Macaca mulatta: one gene and its partner. The protein of the gene in region 1 binds, or shares a complex with, the protein of each later gene. Links are inferred from orthologs where the notes say so. Each region holds a gene or a part of one and is shown in the gene's direction. Other genes may lie near its edges.

Region 1 (10,167 bases):
TACTAAAAATTTAAAAATTTACCGAGCGTGGTGGCGGGTGCATATAATCCCAGCTACTCAGGAGGCTGAGGCAGGACAATCGCTTGAACCCCCGGGGACAGAGGTTGCAGTGAGATTGTGCCACTGCACTCCAGCCTGGGTGACAGAGTGAGACTCTGTCTCAAAAAAAAAAAAAACCCATAGCCACAAGTTTTTATACCCAAAGGGTAACTGGAGCACCACACCAAGGCAGGCTCAATGATTCATCCTTTTATCTCCAGAACTTCAGCACAGAGCCCCGCCCACAGCAGATGCCCAGTGAATACCTGACAAAAGGAATCAGAGGACAATACAAATCAGAGAGAACAGCTGTGGAAAATGCAGATACTCTCTCAGGAACAGCAGAAATCCAAAGCAGACACCACCTCTACCCTCACATCAGCCAGACCTGGAGAGAACGATCATCTTGAATGACAATGATGAATACAGCACTCCCTATTTGCTAAGCACTGTGCTAAACTATATGCCTTAACTCATCTTAATGTCTACAACAGCTTTTATAAGGGCTTTAAACTAGGGCTTGGTAAACTACTGCCCATGGGCCAAACCTGGCCCATCATCTAGTTCTTTATAGCCCACAAGCCAAGAATGGTTTTTACATTTTTAAGTGGTTAAAAAAAAATCAAAATAATATTTTGAGACTGTGAAAACTGTATGAAATTCAAATTCCAATATCCACAAATAAAGTTTTATTGGAACATGGCCACTCAGTATTTATTTACACCGTGGCTGCTTTTGCTCTACAACACACAGCCGAGTGGTCATGACAGAGAATACGGCATCCTGATTTGCACTCCTGCTTTGTACGCTACAAGTCACAGTGACACAATCATAAGTGCTTCACAGCATTTTGAGCACCTCACATATCACCTATCATTACCTAACTGTGTGAAAAGATATTTTCAAAGATGAAATACATGAAATCTCTACAGATCAGCATGAACATGAGTATCTACAGTCAAGTTTGATCATTTGGAACACTAACTTTGTACATGAACTAGGCAAAATGTTATCCTCAAAAAGAGAAATTCAGTTCTTCCCATTAGTAGATCTGTATTACACAAATATCATATTTATTATTATTTTTTAAGACAGGGTCTCCCTCTGTTGCCGATGGAAGAGTACAGTGGGATGATCACAGCTCACTGCAGCCTTAACCTCCTGTGCTGAGGTGATCCTCCCACCTGAGCCTCCTGAGTAGCTGGGACTACAGGCATGCACCACCACACCTGGCTAATTTTTCTATCTTTGTAGAGACAGAGTTTTGCCATGTCACCCAGGCTGGTTTCGAACTTCTGGGCTCAAGCGATCTGCCCACCTCAGCCTACCAAGGTGTTAAGATTACAGGCATGAGCTACTGTGTCCAGCCTCATATTATGTTTAACTTTTTTTTTTTTTTTTTTTTGAGACAGAGTTTTGCTCTTGTTGCCCAGGTTGGAGTGCAATGGCACAATCTCGGCTCACTGCAACCTCTGCCTCCCAGGTTCAAGCGATTCTTCTGCCTCAGCCTCCCAAGTTGCAGGGATTACAGGCCCCTGTCACAACACCCGGCTAATTTTGTGGATTTTTAGTAGAGACAGGGTTTTGCCATGTTGGCCAGGCTAGTCTCGAACTCCTGACCTCAGGTGATCCACCCGCCTCAGCCTCCAAAGTGCTAGGATTACAGGTGTGAGCCATTGCACCTGGCCATATTATGTTTAATTTTACAACTTAAAAATGTGTGGGCCGGGTGCAGTGGCTCACAGCTGTAATCCCAGCACTTTGGGAAGCCGAGGCGGGCAGATCACCTGAAGTCAGGAGTTCAAGACCAGCCTGGCCAACATGGCAAAACCCCGTCTTTACAAAAAAATGCAAAAATTAGCTGGTCATAACGGCAGGTGCCTGTAATCCCAACTACTTGGGAGACTGAGGCAGAAGAGTCACTTGAACCCGGGAGGCAGAGGTTGCAGTGAGCTGAGATCACGCCACTGCACTCCAGCCTGGGAGACAGAGCAAGACTACATCTCTGTCAAAAGATTAAAAAAGAAAAAAAGGTCAGGCACAGTGGCTCACGCCTGTAATCCCAGCACTTTGGGAGGCTGAGGCGGGCAGATCACTTGAGGTCAGGAATTCGAGACCAGCCTGACCAACATGGTGAAACCCTGTCTCTATTAAAAATACAAAAATTAGCCAGGTGTTGTGCTGGGTGCCTGTAGTCCCAGCTCTTTGGGAGGCCAAGGCAGGAGAATCACTTGAACCTAAGAGGCGGAGGTTGCAGTGAGCTGACATTGAGCCATTGCACTCCAGCCTGGGCGTCAGAGCGAGACTCCATCTCTTGGTATTTAAATACCTACACAGTACTCTTTGATTTCACTTCTTATCAGCAAATCATCAAATATTTACTATCTGACTCTTTACAGAAAAAGTTTGTGGACCCTTGAACTAGACACTCATATTTCCATTTCTGGGGTGAGAAAACGGTGGCACACAAAGGTTATGCCATATGCCCATACTTACAAGGCCCATCAGTGGTAACATTGTGATTTAAACCTGGGCATCCTGGCTTTAGAGTCTGTGCTCCTAAAGCACACTACCTTCCACAACTTTCTGCCCACCTAACGCCTCATCCCACCAGTAACTTACGTGCCTGTAGAATCTACTGCCACAGCCCGGACCCCACCACGATGACAGAGAATCTTTGCCAGTGGCTCCTTCATAGCTGGACTCCATAAAGACACAGTACCTGGAAGAGAAGAAGAACCAAAGTTGCTAATACAAACCTGACCCTAAGGTTATTAAACCTGGGAAAGATGGGAACTCAAGACCAAGAGATAACAAAAAAGGGAAATAAAAGGGTAACTTTAAGAGACTCATGAAGGATAAATATAGAAGAAATGCAAGTCAGGATGGTCGGAGAGTCAAAACTAAGCTAGGTACTGACCATTGCTGTGTCCGAGATGGATGACAGCATTGTAAGGGTTCTGACTCATGACATCGAGCCGCCCAGCTCGAGCATTCAGAGCTGCCACGATCTTCCCCACTGATACATCCAGGTAGGTCAGAAACCCTGTTTCTGACTGAGAAAGAGAGAGACAGAGAGAATGACCCAGTCCTGATTGCCCTCTGTATTCCCTCTCCTGGGGTCCTAAAGGAGAAGTGGTCATCCCAAGGGCTGCCACCCAGTTCCTGAGCTCCACGGCCACTCACAGCTGTAGCCAGGAGGAAGTGGAAGGGCAGGAACTCAAGCCGTGTCACTCGGTCACACCGGCGGATACAGTGGAGCTCAATGCCCTGATTGTCATAGATGTGGAGCCAGCGGTTCTGGGCAACAGCAAGCAGTGCCTCAGAATGGAGAAACCTGGGGGAGAGGAAGAGTGGTTCAATTGGGAAATGAGGTCACAGGCTATCATTCAATCAAGGATGGACTATCTCACCACTACTGACCGCTGACAATGAGGCCACTGACCGGATGTCCCGCACTGCCTCCATGACGTTGATCTCGCACATAAGCTTCTTTGTTACCCAATCAAGGGCAGCCACATGACCTCGGCGCCCTCCAAAAGCCAGGTGTCTGTTGGAGGTGAGGGGCAGGCAGGGTGTTAAGGCAGGGGACCACCGACTCAGATGACTTGAGGTCTGCCCCATGCCAGCCCCATCTCTCCAGGTGGGCAGACACATGTTGCTGCAGGTGCTCACCCGCACACACAAGCAAATCAAAGGACCCTCCCCTCATCAACAACCCAAACAAATACTGCGAATGGCTGAAGTGGGCATGGCTAAAGTGGTTAAGGAAACACATCTTAGTTCAAGAGTCACTAGAATTCAACCTTACCTTCCAGTTCGAGAGTAGTTTAGTCTGTAGGGCCCAAATTGCCTCAGATTCAAGTCAAAGTGCTGGGAAAGAGAAGAGTGAAAAAAAAAAAAAAAATGAGTACCCTGCAGGAACGCCTTCTTCTAGCCCCCATTCCTCTCTTGTCCTGCACCACCAATCAATCCCTTGGCTCCTTTACCTCCTCAGGCTCACCTTGGCTGCACTTGCAATGTCCACAGCCTCCACAATGTCAGCCTGGCATATCTTTGCTGTGTCTTCCCCATCCTCCCCTTCCAGAAACCTGAAAGCAAGGGTTAGGATAGCAGTAAAGTTTCCCAATATGAAGCAAGTGTACCAACATAAAAACGAGAAAAGACAGTCCTATAAGGCAAGGATTGGGGGTCCAGATTAGGGCCCACTCACCCCGGTTCCTCAGCAAGCAGCAGCTCAGAACGAGCAGCTTTGATACTTGTTTCCTCTTCCTCAGCTTCAGCCACCTCAAGTCGGCTTCGAGTTTTGGCTTTAGAACGTGGTAGCTATAACATTGTTGGTGGGGAGGAGTGGCAGAAGAACCATAGGATAAGTGGGGTCACAGGAGAGCTACCTAGCCCAGCCTCCATTCAACTCACCCAGACACTCCCTGCCTCCAACACTTCCCAACTCTCCGGCTGGACCTCACCTTTCGGGATTTGTCAATACGACAGAACTTCTGGACCACCTCCACAGGGACGGGGGCGGGGCCTGGGAATGGATCTTGGGCCTAGGGGAAAGGAGAACGCAGTTAGTAGACAGCCTTGGGTTGACCCCAACCCTTTCAAAGCACAAGGCGGCCTGCCTCGCCACCCATTAGGTTCCACGTTCACCCCGGACAAGCTCCGCTGGGACTCCGGGTTCTTCCACTCTCGGGGTTTCTTCGGGACCTGAGGCTGCTTAGAGATCCGAGACTTCTTTAATATGTGAGCATTTTTTGGTCTCTGAGGACGGAGCTCCCGATTCTTCTTGTTACAAGGAGGCCCTGGAGAGGCTCCGTCTGTGGTCGGAACAGTCTCTTCCTCCCAGTATCGCCGCGGTTTCTACAAGCAGATCAGGAACTCTGATACTCCGCACCCACGCCCCGCCCCCCCGACCCCGCAGCAAAAAACTTCCTTTCCCACCCAGGGAGGCCGATACCTTTCTCTTGGTCTGAAGTTTGTCTTTCTTGGGCGGGACATCCCTGCCCGGCTTGGGGGCTGTCTCCATCTCGCCCATCCGAACGGCGATCCACGTGCAAAACTCCTCTCAGCTGCCCCACAGTCGGCTTGAAAACTCCCGGAAGCCCTCTATCCTTCATCCAATCAGTAGCGTACCAGGTCTGAAGCTCTCTAGGCGCCATCTTGAGTGAGGGCACACTCTCCTTAGAGGGGCGGAAGAGCTCTTGGCACCTTATCGGGAGCGGCAGCTTATGCAAGAGTGACTTACAAAAGAAAGGCAGGCCCGGGACCAGGGGCTAAGTAGCGGTGCGGTTTCTTTTTCCGGGTTAGTTTCCCCATCTTGCCTAAAAATATCCGAGTCCAGTCTTTGTAGCAGAACTCCATTCGCTAAACATGTCAGAACTACACTTCCCATCAAGGGTCAGAAAGAAACTTCCGGCGCAGTCTTTTCCCGGCATTCCTCGTTTACTTCCGGGTTTATTACTACTGAAAGCAGAACGTGAATAGGTTAGGATTTCGGTTGAGAGGCTTACGGTCTTGCGTTTCGCCCACCATATCCTGGGGACGGGGTGGAGTCGATACCCAGGACCGGGGGGAGGTGGCGGTGCCCCTCAGGGCTGCCTCTCAAGAGTGCTATCATTTCCGCAGGCGAGATCAGAAAAGTGAGCTCAGGTACCTTCCAGAGAGTGAGACGCAGCGCCCTTGTCTCGCTCCCCGTAGGCTTTCATCCCCGCCATGGCGGAGCTGATCCAGAAGAAGCTGCAGGGAGAAGTGGAGAAATATCAACAGCTACAGAAGGGTAAGGGAGCAGGGTCGGTATGGCCTCGCCCAATGCACTCACAACCCAAAGCCATTACCGAGATAAGGTTTGTTGCCCCATCTGGGCCCTTGCGTGCAGAGACTTTCCCGCTTCAGTACTCTTCCCTATTCACTGACCCGCTGCCCCCATCTTTTTCTGCTTCCTCAGATCCATATCCACCTGACTAGGATTGATGTTTCTAATCTTGCCTTTCCTCTTATCCCCAGACTTGAGTAAATCCATGTCGGGGAGGCAGAAACTTGAAGCACAACTAACAGAAAATAATATCGTGAAAGAGGTGAGGGACTGGGATTTGTGGGGCGAGGAGGGACCTGTACTAGCCATGGTTCTGATCACGTATGTCCCATCCCTCCATCAGGAACTGGCCCTGCTGGATGGGTCCAACGTGGTCTTTAAACTTCTGGGTCCGGTGCTAGTCAAACAGGAGCTGGGGGAGGCTCGGGCCACAGTAGGGAAGAGGCTGGACTATATCACAGCTGAAATGTGAGTCTTTATTCCACCACTGTGTGCTGCACCCTGTGATGCAGTGAACCATTGGAGTAGAGGTGTTGAACCATTGCAGAACAGCTCTCCATAGTGGCCCCTAGTCCTCCAGTTCCTCCAACCCCTTCCTTCCCTTTTAACCCCCCTTCTCCCTTCCCTAATCTCAAGTTTTCCACCTATCTCTTTCTTGCGTTTAGCACCCTCCTTAGTAAGTCCTACTAATTTCTCCCTTTCTACTTGTCTCCCTTGTCTCTCTTTAGTAAGCGATATGAATCCCAGCTCCGGGATCTTGAGCGGCAGTCAGAGCAACAGAGGGAGACCCTTGCTCAGCTGCAGCAGGAGTTCCAGCGGGCCCAGGCGGCAAAGGCAGGGGCTCCTGGCAAGGCCTGACCCCTTGGTGGGGGGAGGGGAGGGGAGGGAATGAGGCAGCTCTAGCATCTATACTGTAGCTAATAAAATGTAAAAACACCTGGCTCCGTTTCCTGACCAGGCGCTTCTGTCATATCCCCACAGTCCCTTCCACCTTCACACACACCACCTGTATTACCCCCTCAGGTTCAAACTCTTGCACTTGGAACTTCTTTGTGGCACGATGTTCTTTCTTTCTTGAAAGTGAAATCCTAAATGTCCTCAAACCTACTTCTTGCCTGTATATACAACCCTTAACTTTCCCTCATCTTGGTTGGCATGATTATTTTGGAAGGGCATTTACAACATAGCGTATTACTAGGAATGTCAGTTCAATTGAAAAAGAATTCACAGTTCTCTAACCTGAGGCCCCAGGATGAAATGTGGTTACCCTCTTTGCCAGCAGCCCTGGCATCTCTATTGGTACTTTTCAGCCTCTGTCTTCCTAGAATTTGCTTGAATGTAGCTTAAACTGACTTAAAATCCCAGCACGTAATGCTTTGTAGTGTATAAGTCCTCCCAAGTTTATATGTTGTCCATAAAGTTGTTCTGCCATTTCCTTGTCCTAAAATTGTTTTATACACATTTGCAGCAAGGGACCAGTGGTAGAGAGGTTACTGAAGAAAAATTGTTCTGAGGAAACTTTTTTCACCAATACCTCACTCACTTTTTGCTCTGTTCATGGGGATAGAAAACATTGTGCCCCTTCCTGTTCCATGGCATCTACCTTCAGCCAATTCCCCACCCCCACTCATAGCAGCCAGTTCATACGCACTACAAGGACAGGGGAGTAGAATTCAGGTAGTGTTTTGGTTTATTATCTTAGTGTTGTCACAGTGATAGAAACCCCCAGACTGGGAAGAAGAACTTCTGCGAGGACCTATTTTTTGCCATTCCCTCTGCCCTGGGGCTCAGAGCCTTGAGGCCTTTGCTTAGCCCTTTGCATATTAGGATATGGCCAAGAATCAGAAACTGATGCGTTTTTTCCAGCACTACCTGTGTGCTGCACAGGTAGGAAGCACACACAGGTGGGAAGCTACACACAGGTATCCAACTTGGTTATAAGACACCAGTTCCCACAGGGCTGGATTTCTCAGCTGTCTGGTAAACCAGTGGTACTTCACTGCCCCAGGATGGCTGGCTACCTTTCTGAATTTCTGTCTCAATGTGATATAACTGCCACCATTCAGGATGGCTACCCACATCTGGTATGAACACCATGACTTCTGTAAGCCAACGGGGCTTCCTCCTCAGAACAGTGCCCGTGCAATCTTCCTCCCTGTGGCCTTGATCCTGGGAAAGGAGCCCCCTCCTCCCTCACTCGGAGGAGTTCCTGAGGCAGACGGGCCACTGGTGACGCCAGGTGTAGCAGCAGAGGACCTTCGCCGCTGCCGCAGGAGGAAATCGTGTGAAGCTCCATCCATGGCGTAGAATACGTTAGCCGAGGCTGGGATAGTCAGCTCTGAAGGTTCAGGGGATGGATGTCAAGCACAAGCACAGTCATTCCCCCCACAGCCGCCCAGATGTGGAAGCACTCCACTCTCCTCCCGAGTCTGCCTTTCCCTCGTGGCCTCTGACCTCGCTCCCCTGGCAGCAGCTGTACCAGCTCATACTCTGAAACCACTGCAGAGTCACGATTGTTTTTCTTAAGGACACGACTGATGACACTTGGAGCCTTGTCCTGGCTTGTCACCTGGCAGGACAGGAGACCAAAAGAGCAATCAATCAGCCATGAATTCCCATCCTTCTACCCTTAGCCACTGAACCCAACCACAAAAGGTTACTTGTGTTCAAGGCTTTAAAAGGAACAGGGAAACCCAATACGGTGGCTTCCTATACCCCATAAGCCAGCCCACATGGTGCCCAGTGAAACAGAGCTGCTTGCCTTTGGGGAAACTGCTGTTGATTCTGAAATTTTAATATGGCCACCAAAAGTTTAAGGTGTAGCAACTAATGCAAAATAGCCATCAAAATAAAACAAATTTTAGCTTGTATTGAAGACCAGAGTTTACAAGATAAAATTAAAAATAAATAACTGCCAAAACCAAAAGTCAAAATTAAAACTACATTCAATTCCATTTGGTTGCCCAAACCTCAGACATTTATAGTCCAACAAGACACCATCCTTCACCCCAACTCCATCCCAAGGCTCCCTCACCAAAATGCTCTTATAGACACTGCCATCTTCCCCCAGCTCCATCTGGACTCGGATGATTCGGCAATCAGAGGCCCCTGGCCCAGATCCCCCTCCCCCATATCCAGTCCCCCCGGAGGCCCCTTCTGCACCCCCACTCAGCGGGGAGCCACAGGAGGCTGAGCGGCGGTGACCTCGAGAAGGCCTAGGGGAGGAGGCTGGTGGGGAGAGATGGCTGGGGTCAGCTGGACTGTGCAGGGATGGACTGCTTTCCAGGGCAGAGTCTAGTGACGAGACAGATGGCCACTTCATGTGCTAGGAATAAACAACATGGGACTGGCATGAAGGCAGGGAGATTAAGGAAGAAACATTTACAGAGTGAGGGTCAGCATCAAGGTCAGAGTCAGGAGCAGAGCTCACCTGGGCCAGCCGAGTCAGCAGAGGAGCAGGAGTTGTAGGCACCTCATCTCCCGCCATACTGGGCCGCTCGCAGGACACAAGCGGGGTAGGGACCCCAACAGAGCCCAGAACCCTACAGTGGCAGGAGATTGGGAGGATCAGAAGAAAAGTGGAAGTTCCAAGTAACCATCCCCCAGCCAGTGAATCTCTCACTCTGTCCACTGCGAGATGACCAATGTTGGCCGAAGCACCCGTGGGGCAGGAGGGTCACTGGAACCAGGTGGCTCCACCTCACAGGATACACGATGGCTGGGTTAGGGGGCAAAAGACAGAGCTCAGGACATGACACCAATCCCCCACACCTGGCCAGAGCCCTAGAGTCCCAACCTCACCCGCCAGTCACCTCTGAGCCTCTGTCAGTGGCCGGAGCCCCTGTAGCCACCTCTGGATATCATGGTCAGGTTGGAGGTTATAGCCACGACATTCATTCTGGAGCCGTCGCAACTCAGAAAGGACTGCAAACTCCTGGGAAGGAGCCCTCAAACTGCAGGAGCCAAAACTCAGGGACACCTGACTTTCCCCCCTCCCCTTCCGGGAACATGGATTGAGAAGTCCAGCATCCAGCCCAGGCACTCCACTCACCTTCCTCCGCTTGTCAAAATTGATGTATCCATTCTGCGAGGAAAATGGGGATGGGGTGGAAGTTCTAACACTACCTTCCAGGCCACAGAGAGAGAATATCCCCTCTCTTAAACACACACAGCCACATCCAACTCACAATCACTTCCCTCTAGCCTCTCTGACTCTTCCATCCCTCCCTGCCTTCCCCCTCAATCTATCATGGCCTAAGCACTGCACTTGACCCTTGAAATTTAATATCTCAGGTAGACAACTAGTCTGCTTT
Region 2 (11,045 bases), on another chromosome or scaffold:
TGGTTCTTCCTCTAATAGGTAACCTTCCTTGTGTATAACAAGGGATATACTAGTCTGGTTACTATGCTTAGGAAATTCATTAAATATTTTATGACCTTCAAGAAAATAAAATTTATGAATGATAGAATTCCTGAATGGAATAAATGGAAAAAAAAATGATCCAGGGTCTTGTGAATCTTGTGGTAAAAATTTTCAAGCCCAGATAACTAAGCTTTCTCTAAATAGTTCAACTAAGATACTTTAAACCATATACCTTGTAGAAAAAAACCCAGTTATTGATTTGAATTCACAAAGAACTCTACCTACATGTGTTTTGTCTTCAGTAACTTGACTCTAAGTAAAATCACTAGTAGTTCAAATATTAGTGCCAGTGGTACAATAATATTGTCTGGTTCTTGGAACAAAAGTCTGCCAAGTTCTAACCGCTCAACTTCCCTCCTACCCTTTCAATTCCTCCCCTCCCCCTGTTCCCTTTGTATATTCCTCCTTCTGCAAAAGCCATCCTGTCCCCTTTCTTTCAAGGGACTTCAATCACAGTGGCAGCCACACCTATGATTATAACATGAAACCAGCAGGAAGTATGGCCTTAATAATTTAATCTCAACTTCCATTAGAAAATAATTGGAAACTCAGATACATAAACATGTGTTGTTTTGTTTTGTTTTACTAGGACAAGCCAACAACCATAGCATGGCAATGGTTCTACAACCAAAACAACTGAACCTACAAGCAAACACGGGTGAACTGAGCTCACTTGCTTGCTTTCACTGTGGTAGCAATAGTATTTTCCTAATTGTGAAGACCCCAACACAGAGTTACATGTGGTCACAAACAGATATTAATTAATCATTTGGTAAAACTTTATTATTGCTAACGATCAGAAGTAGGGCAAAAACACTTGAGCTGTGAAGAGCTCTGCATTATAGTGAAGGCATTGTATGAAGAAAAACATCATCTGAGTACATAAACAATTATCACTAATATATCAGTTAGGCTTTATTTGTCCCTATTGCTTCACTCAGGTGGAAATACTTCCACATGTTTTTAAAGCATCTAAATTCAAATTCAGTAACAATAAATGCTTCATCATTATTTGCAACTCATCTGATAGTAAACATTTCATAACTATTTTATTTAATGGGACCAGCCATGTACTGTGACCTAAATCACAGACTATTACATTTAATTTTGTTTCTTCAATAATGTAGACCAAAATGTTTCAAGCATGTCCTCAGTCTTTGGGAAAGAGGTGGACAGTGGCACTCATATGGAAGAGTTCTAGAAGAAGCCAAGATAATTTCGATTAACCTTTTTTGTAGCTGTCAGACTATGTGAAGACACAACAGGCTTGGGCGGCATATAAAGCATCTTTCATTGGTGTCATTCACAAACCACACTGACCTCTAGATTGTAAAACAGAACTATCAACAGCGAAATCTTCAAATCCAACTGGCAGGAGAGCAGTGGATTGGAAGGAAGACCAATATGCTTAGATGAGGGGTACGTGAGGCACCTGGGCAGAAAATTTTAAGAGCACTTACTGCAGGACCCTGAGAGTCAGTGCATCTTCAAATTTGCACCCTACCACACTCACCACATCTTAGGTTTCTGCCCTGCACAAGAGCTCCAAAGTGAAGTTGGCTGCAAGAGCCAGGGAGGACTGACGTCCACATTCCACAGCTTTGAATCAAAGCTTGAGAACCAGCCTTATCTCAAGTAAAAAGGATTTACTAATCTCTAGACCAGTACTTTGGAGACTCTGCCATTTCCCTTGAGAGACCAAGACCAGCCTGGTGTGCTTTGTTACTAGGGCAACAAAGCATTCTCCCTGCATTCTCCCCGCAAAGACTTTATGTTAAGGATCCAGTAGTTCCTTTCCCAGATCCTAGAGCCCCGTTGGAAAACATCAGTCCAATATCTCAGGTCCTGTCACCTTCTGACAGAATTATTGATACAAATCACCTATTTAGACTGTGATATTAACTCTCCCTTGACTTCTCCCCCTTGGTCCTACGGCCTACCTTACTTCCCCCATCTACTACAATAGAAGGTGGGGCACAAAGAAGACCAATATCCTAGGATGCTCAGTCTCTTCAGCTTTACAGATAAGCCTCACTATTACCTCTAAACAAAGTGGAAGCCAGTCCTGGCAGTTCACCTATAATCCCAGCATCTTGGAAGGCTGAGGCGGGCAGATAGCTGGAAGCCAGGACTTTTGAGACCAGCCTGGCCAACATACTACCATACCCCATCTCTAACAAAAATACAAAAATCAGCCGGGTTGGTGGCACACACTTGTAATCCCAGGTACTTGGGAAACTGAGGCAGGAGAATAGCTTGAATCCAGAAGGCAGAGGTTGCAGTGAGCAGAGACTGTACCACTGCACTCCAGTCGGGGCAACAGAGAAAGACTCTGTCTCAAAACAACAACAATAATGACAACAACAATTACAACAACAAAGTGAAGTGATACTTCACTTTGGAGCTTCTTCCTAAACTTGGATTCTTAAAATGTTTCTAAACTAGCGGTTTTGTAAGAACTCTTTTCCTTAAAAATCTGGCACATTTAAAATATTGGAAATTTTGGGCTTTTAAAAATATTGGGATTATATCAGTGCTTATTTATCTCTATAAACTAGTCAGAACAGAGGCCCTTTAATTAGAGATATTATAGTGGGATTTATTAATACACTCCAGAAGTAGGGAAATATTTTATATTCACCCAGGGAGACATAAAGTCTGTTCTAAGTTAGACACACACAGACACATAGAGAGGTTATTGCTTCTGTTTTACAACTTCAATCTCAGGTCAAAAGTAAACAAAAACCACAAAAATTCACCAGCTCTTCTGCTTGAGCGGCCTTTATGTTAAAACAAACAAACAAAACCTCACCAACCCACATCTCAAATAGCTGTCCTCCTTCCCTCTCAGTGGACACAAAAGTAATTAATTAATTTGAGCTCACAAACGATAAACAAAAAGACTTACAAACTGGTGTCTCTTTCGCCTCTCTTATTTATTTATTTGAACGCCTGGCCTCAAGCAATCCTCCCACCTCAGCCCCAAGTGGTTGAGATTACAGGTTTGAGCCACTGCACCTATCTACCTCTCTACCAAGAAAGACTAGACGTCCATCATCCAACAGATACCACCAAATGGTTAGACCACAAAACCAAACTCCCAATCATTGCTGCTATCAATGCATCAGTAATGTATAAGTTATACCTGAATAGCTTATCAGGAATATACAAATCAGAAACAAAAACAAAATTCTAAAAATCAATTAAGAAGGAAAAATATATAACCACTTCGGATTTCTCTAAGAGCAAATAAAAAACATGCCTGGACTTAAACAACCCATGATGTATACATTTCTGTCGCGAGACAGTTTGATTCATCACATAAATCCACTTGGGCATCTCTGTGGAACCTTAAGATTTCCAATAATATAGTATAATTCTCAAAAACCTAAAATCATGTCTCTAATGTGAACATAAAACAAATACATGTCAAAGTTTTATTCAACTCATTAGTTAGTGAGGGAACCGATAAGACTTTAAAACCAATACAGAATATTAGAGAAGCTAGGCATATATTAATAAAGAAATGTTAGGACACAATTGCAGGGTTAGAGACAAAGCTGACGAATGTGTTACAGAACAATACATCATAACCTGTGTTGGTATCTGGTACACCAAAAAAATTATTTGCATCTCTACCAAACCAAAATCTCTACCAAAGTTAACCTTTGCCCCTAGAGAATTGTAAAACAGCCCAGTCAAGTCAACATAATAAAGTCAAGTTCAGAGCAGCACTGAAAGAACATCCAGTAAATAAATCTCTTTTGCCTATTTCCAAGTTTTAGTCATTTTTTTCCACGGAAGTGAGATATTGCAAATATTGCAGGGGACATAGACATACTAAAAAACTACGAATTCATCTGAAATTCATACTGTATTTTATCCGGCAACCCTAACCACGAGTTAACCAAAACTTTACCAAGTCTGTATAGTTCTATTGCCAACACAGTATCTCCTATGTTCCTCAACTTCATCTTTCCCTAGATAATACATATTATATTAAGAGCTATTTCTATTGCACGGCTATTCTTTACATGTACCACTGGAGGGCGCACATAACTCGTAGTATACTAGATAAGACGTCATGAAGAAACCACCTGAGCGTTTCTGCATCTCAACCACTAGAGGCCAGTACAGGAACCTCAGATTTTGCAACCAGACTGTTTACTCACGCCCTAAGCAGCCACGCGCAGGCGCGAAACTCCTCCCCAGGCCAGACACGGCCTGCGCATGCGTTCAAGTGAGCGCGCAGACGCTGTTGGTAAAACTCGCGGGAAAAGAAAGGGTGCGCGCGGCTGGAAGCGCGCATGCGCGGTGACTAATGCTCGAGGTTCCTTCAGGGCCGAGCATACTGCGCTTCTTGCGGTGGGTGGAAATGCCCAACCGAGGGACGCGCCCAGAGGACAGCCCTGTGCTGATCCCCACCGACAATTCGACCCCACACAAGGAGGATCTTAGCAGCAAGGTGAGTGTCAGACGCAATGAAAGGCTCCTGGACTTGGGACTGGGCGCCACAGGACCCTAAAGTTGGTCCGCAGGGGGCAGCGTGGGGCCTGCCCGGGACTCGGCTTTGCCCTGCTACTTTTCTCTTTTTATTCTTAGCACTTGACAGCTACAGTTAGTCCTTTTATTTTCTGAAAACAGTTGCGAAAAGGGAGATATTGAAATTTGCCCCGAGACACGACCCAGGTGGCAGCGGGGCGGAGTTCTGGTTGGGTGTTTTTAAACTTTGGGAAATACCGCCCACCCCAAATCTGTTCCATCGCAGATATTCTGCATCCGGTTAACCATGCCAGCAACCTGGGATCCATCCTTGACGCCCATCATGGAAGCCTATCAGTTCTACCTTTGAAACTCATTTCAAATATGTCCCTTTATCACCGTGAACACTTACCACCCCAAATAAGCCACTGTCATCTGCCATCGGGACCCCCGCCCCCCGCCCCCCGCAAGGGCTTCCTAACTGGTCTCTCCTCATCCACCTGTTAGCTGCTGCTTCTCCGTTAACCAAAGCAATGGTCCTAAAACACGCATTGGGTTGTCACTGTTATACCAAAAAGGGGGAGGGAGGAAGCCAATATAATATAAGCCTTAACTGCCATAAACAAACAAAACCTTTAAAGATAAATGGGGATGGGCAGGGTTATAGCCCTTCAGGTACTACATGTCCTAGATTCTACTTTGGTTCTGTCCCAAACTTGCAATGACATCTGGGCAAGTCTCTTTAATCTTTTTGTATCAGTTACCTTCTTTGAAGTAAAGTGAAATGTACACCTGTCATTCCTAAAATGGGAAAGCCCTGTACAAACGTTAAGTCTCAAAGAATGTTTACAAATTCGGCCTTGGAATTCAACCTCATTACCACAGCTCTGCCAACTGGGGAGACAGAAAGGTGCACACTCATGGGAATTGGGGGTGAATTTTCAAAAGACACACAGTCCATTCTGATTACCACCATTGCAAGCCCCTTACGCATACTGGTGGATACAAATCCCTGAGGTGTGTGAGGTAGCACAAATATTATAAAAGCTGCTTTTAGAGGCTCGTGTGATACTATGTAATTAGTCGTGTTCACAAAATAAATAGTTAAAGAGTTAAAAAGAAACTTAGTTTTCACCTTAGTTGAGCCCTCCCCTACAAATAAATAAAGCCCAGGTCAGCACTGTGGCCCAGGCCGGTAGTCCCAGATACTCGGAGGCTAAGATGTGAGAATCACCTGAGCCTGGGAAAATCGAGGCTGCAGTGAGCCGTCACCTCGCCATTGCACTCCAGCCTGGGTAACAGATCAAGACCCTGTTTGAAAAAAAAAGAAAACCAGTTCAACAGTGCCAGCTCCATGCTAGCCATTGAGCTAAAAAGGGAAAAATACAAAGATGGAACATGATAGGTCTTACTGTCCCCAAATAAGGCATTGCTTGATTTGAATGTGTTTGACTGCACTGATTAGTACATAAAATCATGAAAATATTGAAAAAAGTAACCCACCCCTCATTCAATTTGCTGTTTTTTTCCCCCCATCTAAATCACAGCTTAATTGAAAGACTGGAATTCCTTTTGGTGTATATCATATATGTATGTGTGTGTGTATATATATATATTTTTATATATATATTTTTTTCTTTTTTGAGATAGAGTTTCGCTCTTCTTGCCCAGGCTAGAGTGCAATGGTGCAATCTTGGCTCACCGCAGCCTCTGCCTCCCAGGTTCAAGCAATTCCCCTGCCTCAACCTCCTGAGTAGCTGGCATTACAGGCATGCGACACTATGCTTGGCTAATTTTGTATTTTTAGTGGAGATGGGGTTTCTCCATGTTGGTCAGGCTGGTCTCGAACTCCCGACCTCAGGTGATCCACCTGCCTTGGCCTCCCGAAGTGCTGGGATTACAGGCATGAGCCACCGTGCTGGGTCTGGTGTATATCATATATTTTTAACAAAAGGTATAAACCTTGTTGAGTAACTGTAGTCTTTGGTATGATTGCTGGTTACGAACACCAAATCCCCTGTCTGATCTTAATGGGTTACCTAACATTTTGCAAGTCTAATCACTGTTTTTTCTCCTCCAACTTTTCCCCAACTGGACCCCCACACAGACTGCTGTTGAAGATAATCTGTATATTCATGAACTGCCCATTTGGAAAACCAGTACATCATAGCCCCTTATCCCATCTCTAATTTTAAAACAACCCCTTAAGGGATTCTCATTGAACATACTTTGAAAACATCTAGCTTAAGGAGTTTTTCTTTATTTCAATAGATTAAAGAACAAAAAATTGTGGTGGATGAACTTTCTAACCTTAAGAAGAATAGGGTGAGTTATTATAGGAATTCTGAATAACAAATATGTGGGAGGTTTATTTATGTTAACTATATATTAAAGTTATAAGAATTATATATGAGATTTAATCATACTTTAATAAAATGTATAGTATTTCAGCATCTTTTTAAATTGCAAGTGTCTATTTTTTAAATGGATAGATCTCATAGTTGAAGATGTCTTTTTTCTATCATACGCTATTCACATTGCATTTGCAACAAATGATACTAGTTGTATTTTGGTATCTTGGAGCTGTAATCACTGATGATGTTTATTTTATACCCTGAATTTGGTGTTTTCTTTTGATACAAACAAACTTTATATTGAGATGAGAAGAAACTTTTCTTTCAAATGAATGTGGATAATTATTGAACAAAAAAAAATACATTGCTTCCCCTCCCTCCAAAAAATTTTTACATAGATTTTTATAAATGTGTAACATGGTTATTTAATGCCATTTCCATTAATATAAATAAGCAAGCTACTGCTTTGTGTATAGTTTCAGTGTCAAATTACATTTTAACATTCAGGAACAAATGAGTTTGAGCTCTTAAAAGTATTTTAAAGATTATGTAATAACTGGTTAGATATTTCTGATGTTGTCACTTATGGAATATTAGAAGTTGAAGCACATAAAAAAATTAGCTGGGTGCCTGCCTGTACTTCCAGCTACTCGGGAGGCCGAGGCACAAGAATCTCTTGAACCTGGGAGGCAGAGGTTGCAGTGAACTGAGCGCATCACTGCACTCCAGCCTAGGCGACAGAGCAGAACTCCATCTCAAAAAAAAAAAAAAAAAAAAAGTTGAGGCAGAATTAATACAGACTTTCTCTAGAGGGCAAATTGAGGGCAAATCTCAACAACTCAAACTATAACACTTTGACCCAGCAGTTCCATTTATAGTAGTTGATACTTAGGAGAGAATCATGGGAGTTCACGAAGATTTAGTTACAAAGATATTCATCACAACGTTGATTTACAATAGCAAAGAGTTGGTAGCACTTTAAATGTTTAGTATTTGAAGCGAGCAAATAAACTGTAATATATTATACCTGTATAGCAGTAGGTATAATTTGGTCGCCGTAGCTTGCTTTGCCATTTTTGTGTTCTTGTAAAATAACACTTACTGATAAGAAAAAGTGTTCTCCGGTGAAACCCCGTCTCTACTAAAAATACAAAAAATTAGCCGGGCGCGGTTGTGGGCGCCTGTAGTCCCAGCTACTCGGGAGGCTGAGGCAGGAGAATGGCGTGAACCCGGGAGGCGGAGCTTGCAGTGAGCCGAGATCGCGCCACTGCACTCCAGCCTGGGCGACAGAGCAAGACTCCGTCTCAAAAAAAAAAAAAAAGAAAAAGTGTTCTCAATATATTGCTCATTGATAAAAGCATAAATCTGCAGGTACAGTAAGAACATTTTTTGTTAAAATGGTATATGGAGAGAAAATAGTTTCATTTCAGTAGTAGCACTTTCTGGTAGTTGGGCAATGGATGACTTTTATTTGTGTTTTTGCTTATCTGTGTTTGCTAAAGTATAGTACTAAATATATATTACTGAAGTTCAAGAATTAGTGATAATAGGGTTAAGGATTTTAACATCTACTTTTTAGATCAAAATTTGATTTTAGCCTAAATTATGTTTTCCAGAAAGTATATAGGCAGCAACAGAACAGCAATATATTCTTTCTTGCAGACCGAACAGAAATGCTATCTGAGAGCAAAAGTAAGTTTTTTCTTTTTTGTGGCTTTTGGGGGGTGCCTAAATTATACTCATCTGAATGTTAAAATATATATCAAAAGATTAATGCAGCAGTTTGGTTTTCTTCAAGTTAGCCTTCCAAAGATGAGTCAACAGTTTAAATAAATATATATATATATATATATCATAATATGTGTTAGCAATAGTTATTAACATGTGCTTTAGAGTTTCAAACAGGCCTAAGTATGACAAACAATTACCACTTTCTACCTTTGTGACTTTGGGTGAAATACTTTAAACCTCCAAGGTATTGTGGGATCTAAATAAGATGCTGTGTAAAAAGTGCTTAGCCAAGTGCTTGGGCCAAAATGAGCACCCGGCAAAACAGAAGCTATTTTTGTAAAAGATAAACATTCTTTGTTAGTAGCCTGTTGTTAATTATCATTGGCACTGGCACAGTGTGTGTGTTTATATGGTTTGATTTTGGTAAACAGCTTGTTTTGCCCTCTGAATTGCTAGGTAAAAGTCCAAGAATTTTTATGTTATTTAATATTTATTCTCCTTCCCTGCAACAGGTATATTGGATGAACTGAAAAAAGAATACCAAGAAATAGAAAACTTAGAGAAGACCAAAATCAAGAAATAGTCAACCTAATTTCACGTAACAATGTGTGGCATTTGTTGTTCTGTAAACTTTTCTGCTGAGCATTTCAGTCAAGATTTAAAAGAGGACTTACTATATAATCTTAAACAGCGGGGACCCAATAGTAGTAAACAATTGTTCAAGTCTGATGTTAACTACCAGTGTTTATTTTCTGGTCACGTCCTACACTTGAGGGGTGTTTTGACTACCCAGCCTGTGGAAGATGAAAGAGGCAATGTGTTTCTGTGGAATGGAGAAATTTTTAGTGGAATAAAGGTTGAAGCTGAAGAGAATGATACTCAAATTTTGTTTAATTATCTTTCCTCCTGTAAGAATGAATCTGAGATTTTGTCACTCTTCTCAGAAGTGCAAGGTCCCTGGTCATTTATATATTATCAAGCATCTAGTCATTATTTATGGTTTGGTAGGGATTTTTTTGGTCGCCGTAGCTTGCTTTGGCATTTTAGTAATTTGGGCAAGAGTTTCTGCCTCTCTTCAGTTGGCACCAAAACATCTGGATTGGCAAATCAGTGGCAAGAAGTTCCAGCATCTGGACTTTTCCGAATTGATCTTAAGTCTACTGCCATTTCCAGATGCATTATTTTACAACTGTATCCTTGGAAATATATTTCTAGGGAGAATATTATTGAAGAAAATGTTAATAGCCTGAGTCAAATTTCAGCAGACTTACCAGCATTTGTATCCGTGGTAGCAAATGAAGCCAAACTGTATCTTGAAAAACCTGTTGTTCCTTTAAATATGATGTTGCCACAAGCTGCATTGGAGACTCATTGCAGTAATATTTCCAATGTGCCACCTACAAGAGAGACACTTCAGGTCTTTCTTACTGATGTACACATAAAGGAAGTAATTCAGCAGTTCATTGATGTCTTGAGTGTAGCAGTCAAGAAACGTGTCTTGTGTTTACCTAGGGGTGAAAACCTGACAGCAAATGAAGTTTCGAAAATGTGTGATAGGAAAGCAAATGTTGCAATCCTGTTTTCTGGGGGCATTGATTCCATGGTTATTGCAACCCTTGCTGACCGTCATATTCCTTTAGATGAACCAATTGATCTTCTTAATGTAGCTTTCATAGCTGAAGAAAAGACCATGCCAACTAGCTTTAACAAAGAAAGGAATAAACAGAAAAATAAATGTGAAATATCTTCTGAAGAATTCTCTAAAGATGATGCTGCTGCTGATGACGACAGTCCTGATAAATATGTCAGTGTACCAGATAGAATCACAGGAAGGGCGGGACTAAAGGAACTAAAAGCTGTTAGCCCTTCCCGAATTTGGAATTTTGTTGAAATTAATGTTTCTATGGAAGAACTGCAGAAATTAAGAAGGACTCGAATATGTCACTTAATTCAGCCGTTGGATACAGTTTTGGATGATAGCATTGGCTGTGCAGTCTGGTTTGCTTCTAGAGGAATTGGTTGGTTAGTGGCCCAAGATGGAGTGAAATCCTATCAGAGCAGTGCAAAGGTATGACACTGTTTCTTCTGATAATTTCTGAGACCTATTTTTGACCCTTAAAGCTTGTAGCATTTTGATTGTAAGAATATAGCATATTTTAGTTGCATTTAAACTACAACACAACATATGTGACTTCTTTAGAATTGGATATATTTTACTATTTTCTGTCTTTATCTTGTTTTTCTCCTAAAGTGTTATCTTTAGGTTTGCAATTTTTAAGCTTTTCTTTTATCTTGTTTTCTTTACTGTGTGGTTGATAACATTTTTATATGGATTTCTTTAAACCGCATAGGTAGTTCTCACTGGAATTGGTGCAGATGAGCAACTTGCAGGTTATT

What was found. Proteins that work in one complex are often made in the same cells at the same time.
Region 2: PFDN6 (region 1) and ASDURF share a complex: the UniProt entries of both Homo sapiens proteins name them as parts of the PAQosome complex. The link is inferred for Macaca mulatta from reciprocal best matches to the Homo sapiens genes PFDN6 and ASDURF.

Annotation. Positions count from the first base shown.
Region 1 is NC_133409.1:148,996,183-149,006,349, reverse strand, and holds PFDN6 (prefoldin subunit 6), read left to right. Parts: upstream 1-5,496; 5' UTR 5,497-5,526; exon of another isoform or gene 5,527-5,739; 5' UTR 5,740-5,754; coding exon 5,755-5,818; intron 5,819-6,045; coding exon 6,046-6,116; intron 6,117-6,197; coding exon 6,198-6,322; intron 6,323-6,582; coding exon 6,583-6,712; 3' UTR 6,713-6,795; downstream 6,796-10,167. Other genes in the region: WDR46 (WD repeat-containing protein 46), read right to left, coding at 2,662-2,761, 2,960-3,095, 3,226-3,376, 3,485-3,589, 3,851-3,912, 4,043-4,130, 4,253-4,365, 4,509-4,589 and 2 more; RGL2 (ral guanine nucleotide dissociation stimulator-like 2), read right to left, coding at 7,981-8,192, 8,309-8,423, 8,889-9,179, 9,285-9,396, 9,477-9,572, 9,667-9,938. UniProt on the Homo sapiens protein: Binds specifically to cytosolic chaperonin (c-CPN) and transfers target proteins to it. Binds to nascent polypeptide chain and promotes folding in an environment in which there are many competing pathways for nonnative proteins.
Region 2 is NC_133417.1:94,647,095-94,658,139, forward strand, and holds ASDURF (ASDURF protein), read left to right. Parts: upstream 1-4,397; 5' UTR 4,398-4,402; coding exon 4,403-4,546; intron 4,547-6,834; coding exon 6,835-6,888; intron 6,889-8,533; coding exon 8,534-8,609; intron 8,610-9,160; coding exon 9,161-9,231; 3' UTR 9,232-9,252; downstream 9,253-11,045. Other genes in the region: ASNSD1 (asparagine synthetase domain-containing protein 1), read left to right, coding at 9,253-10,716, 11,000-11,045.